Linked DNA regions of Sus scrofa. The protein of the gene in region 1 interacts with the protein of each later gene in a pairwise test. Links are inferred from orthologs where the notes say so. Each region holds a gene or a part of one and is shown on either strand. Other genes may lie near its edges.

Region 1 (4,431 bases):
GTCTTCACATGAGGACACACACAGGGACGTCCAGGCCCCCGGGACATCTGCTCCTACCTCCTTCTCGGCGGCTCCTCCCCGTGGCCCTGGGAGGGGGACCAGGGGCCTGTGCCTCTGCACACACCTGTGCCCGTGCCTGCAGGCTGTTCCCGTGGGCACGGGGCGCTTGCCTGTGGGAGTTCTGCCCCTCCCTCCAGGCAAGGCCACACTGAGATACCTGCCCTTGTACCTTGCGACCTTCTTGTCTGTTGGGAAGCTCACCTGGGCCTGAGGTTCTTATCCTGGCAGGACAAGCAAGGGTGCAGAGGCAGGCGGGAACCCTCCCTCCCTCAGGCCAGGGCAGGTAGGGAGCAGGAGCAACCGGGCTTCTGCACCTCCCAGCCCCAGCCCCAGCCCCAGCCCACCCGGGGGTTTATCGGGGCGGGGGGGGCATCTCCCTTTCTTCCTGACACCTGCACGGCTCTGTGTGAACAGACCAAGAGGCTGTAGCCTCATGTGTTGGGTTAATCTAGTCAAGTACACAGCAGTGGGAGCACGTCTCCAGGTGGCAGAAAGATCTGGAAGGCCTAATGGACCATCAGCCCCCTGATGAGGTTCTGTTTTAGGGCTGCAGAAAAGAGCCCGTGGGCTGGTGGCTGCGTGGGGAGGCCCGGGCCTGCTGGGGATCACAGGGCCCAGGGCACAGTGGCTGGATGGAGAGCCGGACGTGGGGGGCCAGGCCTTGGGGCTCGCTGCTTGCCTGCAGCAGAGCAGACGCGGGCTCCAGCCCTGCGGAGGGCCCCTCACCGGGTGGGGAGGAGGCCGGACCGGGGCCAGGGAACGTGATTGCTGGGGAGACAGGGCGGCTCCTGGGAGCCCCTGCCCTGGAGGCGGCCGCAGAATGGGCCCCGAGGGGGGAGCCCCAGGGCCCACCGTGCCCATCTGTCTGTCGCCTGTCCCCCGCAGGCGTGCCGATGCTCTCGGTCCAGCCCAAAGGGAAGCAGAAGGGCTGCGCGGGCTGCAACCGCAAGATCAAAGACCGCTACCTGCTGAAGGCGCTGGACAAGTACTGGCACGAGGACTGCCTCAAGTGCGCCTGCTGCGACTGCCGCCTGGGCGAGGTGGGCTCCACCCTGTACACCAAGGCCAACCTCATCCTGTGCCGGCGCGACTACCTGAGGTGGGCCCCCCCCCCCGCCCCTCCCCTCCGTGCCGCCCCCTGCCCAGGGCGGTGCGGCTCCGCCCACTCCAGCCCGGGCCCCGCCCCTCGGGCCCAGTGCCCGCCCCACCCCAGACGGGCCTCGGTGCCCATGGGCACCGGAGAAGCTTCCCAGGGCAGGAGTCTGCCGCTTCCCAGAATCCAGGAAGGGGCCCCCTCGGAGGGGCCTCCAGGAGCAGGGGGGTGGGAAGCCCTGACTTCCCGGACCCCTCTGGCCTGAAGATGCCCCGACTCCTCCACCGCCCTGGCCGGGAGCCCGGCGGGGAGCCAGACCCGAGCAGAAGAGCCTCTGACCTTGGGGCTTAGAGACCACACTGGGGACCAGTTCTGAGCTTGGCTTCTTAGTGCCCCCGCCTCAGTCTACCCCTTGGTGACTGGTGAAAAGGCCAGCACTTGAACCCTACCTCGGTTCCTCAGAGCTCCAGCTGCCCCTGCCCCGCAGCCTGGACCCTTTCCCGGGCCGCCTCACCCATGACCCCCTCGGGCCGAGCATGACATCAGCAAGGCTGGAAGGAGGCCACAAAGCAGGGGCCTTGGCTGAGACCCAGCGTCTGCATTTGGCTCCCTGCAGGCTGCTGGGTGGGGCGGGGCCTGGTGGGGGCGGAGGCCCCCTGCCTTAATAAGGAGGTGGGCCCAGGGATTCAGGGGCTCCCTTGGCCCAGGACTGGGGGCGGGGGAGTTAGCAACACAGGCTCCCCTCTTTCCCCAGGATTTACCTGCCCGCTCCTTCTCTTTTAAAACTTCTGCCTTTTGCAGGAGTTTGTTTTATTATTTTAAATGGTGCTGAAAACCAGGAGGAGTGATTCAGGGCTCCTGGCGGCGCTGGAGGAGAGATGCCGAGGTCAGGGGAGAGGTCACCCACCTGCTTCTGGGGACTTGCCCTCGGCAGCCTGGGAGGGGCCTCCAAGTCCAAGGTTTAGGACCTCACCGGGAGGCTGAACCTGCCAGGTTGAGGGGAGGATGGCAGGCCGTCTGACGAGTCCACAGGACCTGGAGAGGGAGGACTGCCATGCAGGCTGGGCCCGTCCATAGAGCTCAAGCACCCACAAGCCTCCCGGGCCCTGCCAGCTCCTGGAGCCTGAAATATTTTCCTGGGCTCTGGCAGAGGCCAAGGAATGCCCTTGGGGCCAGGTAGGGCAGTGGGCCGGGGTGGGGCTGGGGCTTCCTGGAGCTGCTCAGCCCAGAGAATGGCCGTCCAGAGCCTGCCCCTCTGCAGCCACTGGACTGGTGGTAAGAAAGGCCTTTCTTGGCAGGCAGATGCTGTGGCCCGGCCTTTGTCTGCCTTAATCTGAGCCACCAGGCAGCTCAGGCTGATGAATAATGGAGCCGAGCTCATCTGCAGGTGCCTGCGTTTGAGCTCCGGACAAATCAGGGATTAGGGGGCCTCGCGCCTGCCTCTCAAGGCCCTCGCCTCACTTGGGGCTTCCTCTGCCACCGTACAGAAAGGGAGCAGACCGCTGGCGCATCCAGCCAAGGGCGGGCCTGTGTGGGGAGGGAGGAGCCCTCTGTCCTTGGAACTTTGCAGTTGGCAACTACGAGGAGGTGCCAGTCGTCCTTGGAAGGTCCTTTTGGCATCTGTTCTGTTTTAGAAGCATCTTTGAACGGGATCGTCTAGTCCAACAGTCCCACTTTAAAGAAGGATAAACTGAGGTCCAAGAAAAGGGAAAAGGGAGAGACGTCACAGCCTGAGTTCCTGAAATAGTACCAGAAAAAGGCCTCTGGTACCAGAAAAAGGACCAATGACTTGGTCTGTGAGAAGCCCCTAGAGCAGTGCCTGGCACGTAGCAGGCAGCGTCTGGGCATTTGCAGAAGGGCCGTGACTGAGTGTTTAGTTTTCACAAGCCTGCGAAGGATGTATTTAGGTCCCCATTTTATAGTTGAAGTGAGTGAGGCTCAGAGAGACCCAGTGACTTGCCTGAGGACACACAGCCCACAATAGGCAGACTGCCTTTAAATTCAGGCTTGTGTGAATCTGGAGTCCTTAGCCTGGGCTCTTTGGGGAGCCGCCGAGGGAGCTTGCTTGAGGGACCCTAGTGGGAGCCTGAGGACAGGAGGGCGAGTCAACTCAAGGCCCGCCCAGGCCTCCTCCTTGCGAGGATGTGCTGATCTGAAGCCGGACCTCTTAGCGGGATTAGACCCTTCCGTCTGTCTTCCTCCCCTCTCGCCCAGGCCCACCTACTGAACCGCAGGGGTTGGGGGCAGGTGGGGCCCCGGCTGGAGGCAACTCCCCTGCCCTCCCGCCAGCCCCCGCAGGCCCCTGAGCTCTCCGCGCCCTCCCTCTGCAGGCTCTTTGGCACCACGGGAAACTGTGCCGCCTGCAGCAAGTTGATCCCAGCCTTCGAGATGGTGATGAGGGCCCGGGACAACGTCTACCACCTCGACTGCTTCGCCTGCCAGCTCTGCAACCAGAGGTGGGTGGTGGGCTGCCACAGGCCCGATGCACTCAGCAGACCCCGCTGCCAGCTGCTGCCAGGTCTCTTGTGCTGCGGAGGCAGGCATGCAAACATGGGTTCTCTGTGTGCGTGTTGCCGGGAGCATGTATGTGCATGTGTGCATTTTATGTACACGTGGGCCTGGTAGCCAGGTATGTGCACTCCAGTACCGTGTGTGCCCATGAGTAGAGCACAGCTCCACACAGACGTAACAGACAGGGCCGTGCATGAGCCATGCGCATTGTGTCGTGGCCATGCGTGCATTTTTACACGTCACGTGCAAGGGGTCTGTGTGTGCTGTCTGCAGGATGGGTGAGTTTGCCTGTGCACGCGTGTTTCTGAATGTACGTGTACAAGAGCCCTGCGTGTGCTACCTATGGATACACGTAGGTGTGTTCTCGTGAGAAGGGGCTCCCGGACCTGGAGGGTGAAATAGCCTTTAGAATTTCGCTCCTGTGATTCTTGTTCCAGCCCAGCCCCCTCTCTGGTGTGTTGGCCCCAGCTTACTGTGCCCCCAGCCCTGTGGGAGGCCCCGGGGATCTGAGGAGCCAGAGCCCTTTAGCCCTGGCTGGGGCTGAGCCCCAGAAGGCAGGCCCTTTTGTCAGGAGCCCCCAGGTCAGGAAGGAGCTCATGCAAGCGTTGCCAGAGGGTGAGGTCCAGAGGGACCTACCTAAGCTGGTTTGGAGGAAGCTCTGCCCCGACCACCGCCAGGAGGGCTCGGTGAAGTTGCAGCGCCACCTGGTGGTTGAAAGAGGATCGGCTGGGCCTGGGCCTGTCACCCTGGGGTCCCACGAAAAGCCT
Region 2 (4,431 bases), on another chromosome or scaffold:
TTTAAAACCCCACAACCAGCTACCATGTCAACACAGCAGTGGCTGTAAGAATAAAGAAGGGAATGCCTGAGGGAGAGAAGGAGCACTTGGTCACGGTCCCAAGTGTCCGGGCTCAGAAAGCATCGGGTTCATCCCCTGAGGCGTGCGTTATGGTAACGGAAGAAACTCGCCTCTCTCTTTCCCCGCACGCAGGCGGACACCTGCATTCCTAAGCTGAACGAAGGGGATCAAATCGTGCTGATCAACGGCCGGGACATCTCCGAACACACCCATGACCAAGTGGTGATGTTCATCAAAGCCAGCCGGGAGTCACACACGCGGGAGCTGGTCCTGGTGATCCGGAGGAAAGGTAAGGGCCACCCACGGAGAGGCGCCTTAGCGAAGAGGGCCTTCTCCCGCCCCTTCCGAGGTGTTGAGATGTTGAGCTCGTAGCCAACATCGGACAAGCCAGACCTTTCCCATGACAACCTGCTGGCTGACTTTTCACTTGAAAAATGTGGAGACCTGCCCACCCAACACCCTACCCCTCATGGCCAGTGCTCGGCAAGTAGGCAGCACCCACCCCCTTTTATACAGGGCACGAGCCCCGCGTTCCTCCCAGCCGGACTCAGCCCACATCGTGCACCCCGCTTAGCTGCCTGGCCCCGTCTGCCTTTGCATAATCATCCCCATCTCAGCAGATCAGGTTATATTTTATTCATGTGCATTTGGTTTTGTTGGAGAGACAGTAAGCTGAGTAGGGCAGGAGGCTGACTGCCTTGGGGCTGTTCTAACCCTGCCTCCTACTGGGCCCAGGGACCTTGCCCAGTAGGAGTTTCTTGCCCAGTCTGTCTCCGTTTCCACTAAAGTAAAATGAGGATAACACAGTTGCTGCCTCTGGATTCCTGTGAAGATTCAGTAATACTCATACTGAAAAGCAACAAGGACGCTGCCCCGTACTTGGTGGGCATTTGAAGGGCAGCCTCTGTTGAATACTATTACTGTTGTTGTGGTGGTGGTGGTTGTTATAAAGCAGTTAGCCTTGGATCCTCCTGCCCGGCTTCAAATACTGAAGGTAAATGAAGTATGTGGCTCAAGCCCTGGCCCTGCATCCCTGTTGTGGCCTCACTGCCTTCTCTGTTCCCGGTGATGCTCCCAGTGCCAGCTCTCACCCCACCTCCTCCGTGAGGGCCCCACCTGATCTCTCCAAAACCCTTCCCACCTCGTCTCACCCCATCCCCTCCAAACCCAGCTCCATGCTGGGCACACAGTAGGTATCACTCGTGACAGTGGCTGATGTCTCTGCAGCACCAGCAGAGGGCCTACACCATGTCAATTGCTTTACTAATTATCCCATTCAATTCTTAAAATGTTCTCGTAGGTTAGTGTTATTATCTCTAAATGGGAACAGCAGTCACGGAGAGGTTAAGTTGCCCTGCTGCCATGTGTCTGGTGAGGCCCCATGATAATAGGGACGGAAGGAATCCAGCAGTTGGGAGCAGACCTCTCTATCACATGCAGTGCCCTGTGACCCGCTGGCCAAATCTGGGGTTCTTCCCAGGAGCACCCTGGCCAAGCCAGGGAGGGGGCCCACCACCAGCCCATGGCAAGGGGCCAGTGTCTGTAGCAGAAACTAATGGAGCCCCATTCGACCTTACAGAAGAAGAATCAGAACTTGTATCAGGCTTTAATGTATAATACGCTTTGAGGTGAGAAAAACAGATACTTGTAGACTAGTAGAGCCTAAAGGGAAGTGCATAAAAGGTTTCCTGTAACTGTAATGAAAGTAAGTTCTTTTTTTTTTTTTTTTTTTGTCTTTTTAGGGCCACACCTGCAGCATATGGAAGTTCCCAGGCTAGAGGTCAAATTGGAGCTGAAGCTGCCAGCCTATGCCACAGCCACACCAGATCCAAACCATGTCTGTAACCTACACCATAGCTCACAGAAACGCTGGATCCTTAACCCACTGAGCAAGGCCAGGGATCAAACCCTCATCCTCATGGATGTGAGTCGGGTTTGTTACTCCTGAGCCACGGGATGGGAACTCCAGTGAGTTCATTTTAAAAATAAACATTTAAGTAAAAAATGATTGAAAGAAAAATAAGTAAATAGTAACGGGACGGGGCGGGGGAGCACATATGACAAAACCCACAAAAATAAGTAGAAGAACTGAGCTTCTTTGGTCAGTGAAAAGAATGTGGTCTTTCGGGTCAGCCAGATGTGGACTTAAAACTCTTGCCCTTTGAATCAGTTTCCTCATCTGCAAGATGGGAATAATGACACCTGCTTCAGTACTGTGAGGATTCAGTTCAACTCTGTGGGAAAACCCAAAGTTGTTGCCTCCTTCTTTCCTGTTATCTTGAAGGCAGTAGGGAGCCATTGAAGGCTATTGCGAAAGGGAGTGACTTCTGTTTCTGGGTAGAAAGGGAAAAATTCAGAGATGAGCTCAAAGTCTTCCCTTTAAGAGAGTGGAGAAGGAAGTGACATAGACAGAAAGAAGCATATGAGGCCGGGACGTATTGTGCATGGTGGGGAAGGAAGGGCCCTTGGCCTTTTTTTTTTTTAACCCATATTGAGTCTGCATGAAGGGAGAATTTGTTCCAAAGAGGAAACACAGACTAGAGATGTTTATCTGGGCGGCCTCCCTCCTAACAGTGGCCTGAGTTAGAGACACCACCTGAGCTCTGTGGGACAGTGGCAGTGTGGAGAGAGCACCAGACCCCACACCAGTTTCTGGGAAAATGCCTGTTTTAAAGGAGCAGATAAAAGGGACCCATGGGATTCCCATCGTGGCGCAGCGGAAGCAAGTCCAACTGGGATCCATGAGGTTGCGGGTTTAGTTCATGACCTCGCTCAGTGGGTTAAGGATCCGGCATTGCCATGAGCTGTGGTGTAGGCCGAAGACACGGTTCGGGAAGAACAGGGGTAGAAGAATAACCAGCTCAGAGACAGTAACAGGAGAAGATCTCTGTTCTTTTTTTTTTTTTTGGCTTTTTAGGGCCGCACCCATAGGGCATATGGAAGTTCTCAGGCTAGGGGTTGAATCGGACCCACAGCTGCCGGCCATAGCCACAGCAACTCGGGATCCGAGCCATGTCTGCGACCTGCACCACAGCTCACAGCAACACCGGATCCTTAACCCACTGAGCAGGGCCAGAAATTGAACCCTTATCTTTATGGATACTAGTCACATTTGTTTCTGCTGCACCACAACAGGAACTCTGATCTCTGTTCTTTAAAAACAGTCATTCCCTTTCTCATACCTTTGGCAAAAGCCTCTGAGTACTAAACACCATCATTTAAAACTAACCAGAAAGATTAGTATGTCATTTTGTATAATTAGCACATATTGAATCATTCAACAAGAAGTGTCGTTGGTGAAAATGATTACCATGTGCTTAATCATTTAATAAGATGTTTTAAACCATCTGCATTCAGGTGTCATAAGTGTAATTGGGGGGAGGAAACCGATCCCCCAGCGTGTGGCTGCACAGGCCCGACACGTTCCTTCTCGTCCACTGCAGCGGTCCACTCATTTGCTGATATCAAATCTGAAGACGAACTGAACCAGCTCTTCCCAGAGGCCATTTTCCCCATGTGTCCGGAGGGTGGGGACACGCTGGAGGGATCCATGGAACAGCTAAAGAAGGGCCTCGAAAGCGGGACGGTGCTGATCCAGTTTGAGGTAAGAGACCTCAGGGCTGACCCCCCAGTGCCTCTGTGGGCTGCCGGCTGCTGCCGGATCATTCAACTCACCAGCTGGCCGTGCTCATCCAGGGACCATGGAGGGGCTCGGGGCCTCAGAGAAGGCGGGGGCTGGCGACCACGGCCCGCCCCTGAACTCTGTCTCACCTGCCTGTTCTAGTAACGATCAGTAGTCATGGAGAAGCATGTCAGAAATCAAGGAGGCGGGACTCTGAGCATATTTTGCTGCCAACGCAAAGGCTCGAAGCACTCAGCAGTCAAAAGTAGTGGAGAGGCAGCGTGGGTGAGGCAGAAGGGCTGATGGAGGAGCCGGGTCCTGACCCCACCAGGCACACTTTGCAATTGCGACCACTTAGTATCCGTATCATCCCATGAGGGCACAGGGGCTCGGCTTCCCAAGTGCCCCAGAGAATCAGAACACAAGCAGAAACCAAGGTCAGGCCCCGTCTCCCTTCCCCAGGAGGGACCTCCAATCACAGCATTGAGACTGTTGACAACAGCACCCAGAGACTTTACAAAACAAGGTAGGACCCGAGGAGACTTGATTTTCGAGTCAGTTTTACTGACCCCTAACAGAATGAAAATAGATTGTGTTTATCGTCTACATTTCTTAAAGGTGGTAGAAAACAGAGTAGTTCAAGCAGTAAAGATAAGAGAAGAAGCATCAAGTAGGCCGATTAAAGAAAATGAATCATGATTAATGACAGCTTACACAGTCTGGATTCATAAATTAGGAAGGAGAGTCTC

The links.
Region 2: the proteins of LMO1 (region 1) and PTPN3 interact in binary tests that used the Homo sapiens proteins (3 or more experiments, as listed by UniProt). The two-hybrid records come from large-scale screens. The link is inferred for Sus scrofa from reciprocal best matches to the Homo sapiens genes LMO1 and PTPN3.

Annotation. Positions count from the first base shown.
Region 1 is NC_010451.4:1,076,662-1,081,092, forward strand, and holds part of LMO1 (rhombotin-1), read left to right. Parts: intron 1-945; coding exon 946-1,159; intron 1,160-3,483; coding exon 3,484-3,609; intron 3,610-4,431. UniProt on the Homo sapiens protein: May be involved in gene regulation within neural lineage cells potentially by direct DNA binding or by binding to other transcription factors.
Region 2 is NC_010443.5:250,446,161-250,450,591, reverse strand, and holds part of PTPN3 (tyrosine-protein phosphatase non-receptor type 3), read left to right. Parts: intron 1-192; coding exon 193-349; intron 350-3,503; coding exon 3,504-3,664; intron 3,665-4,431.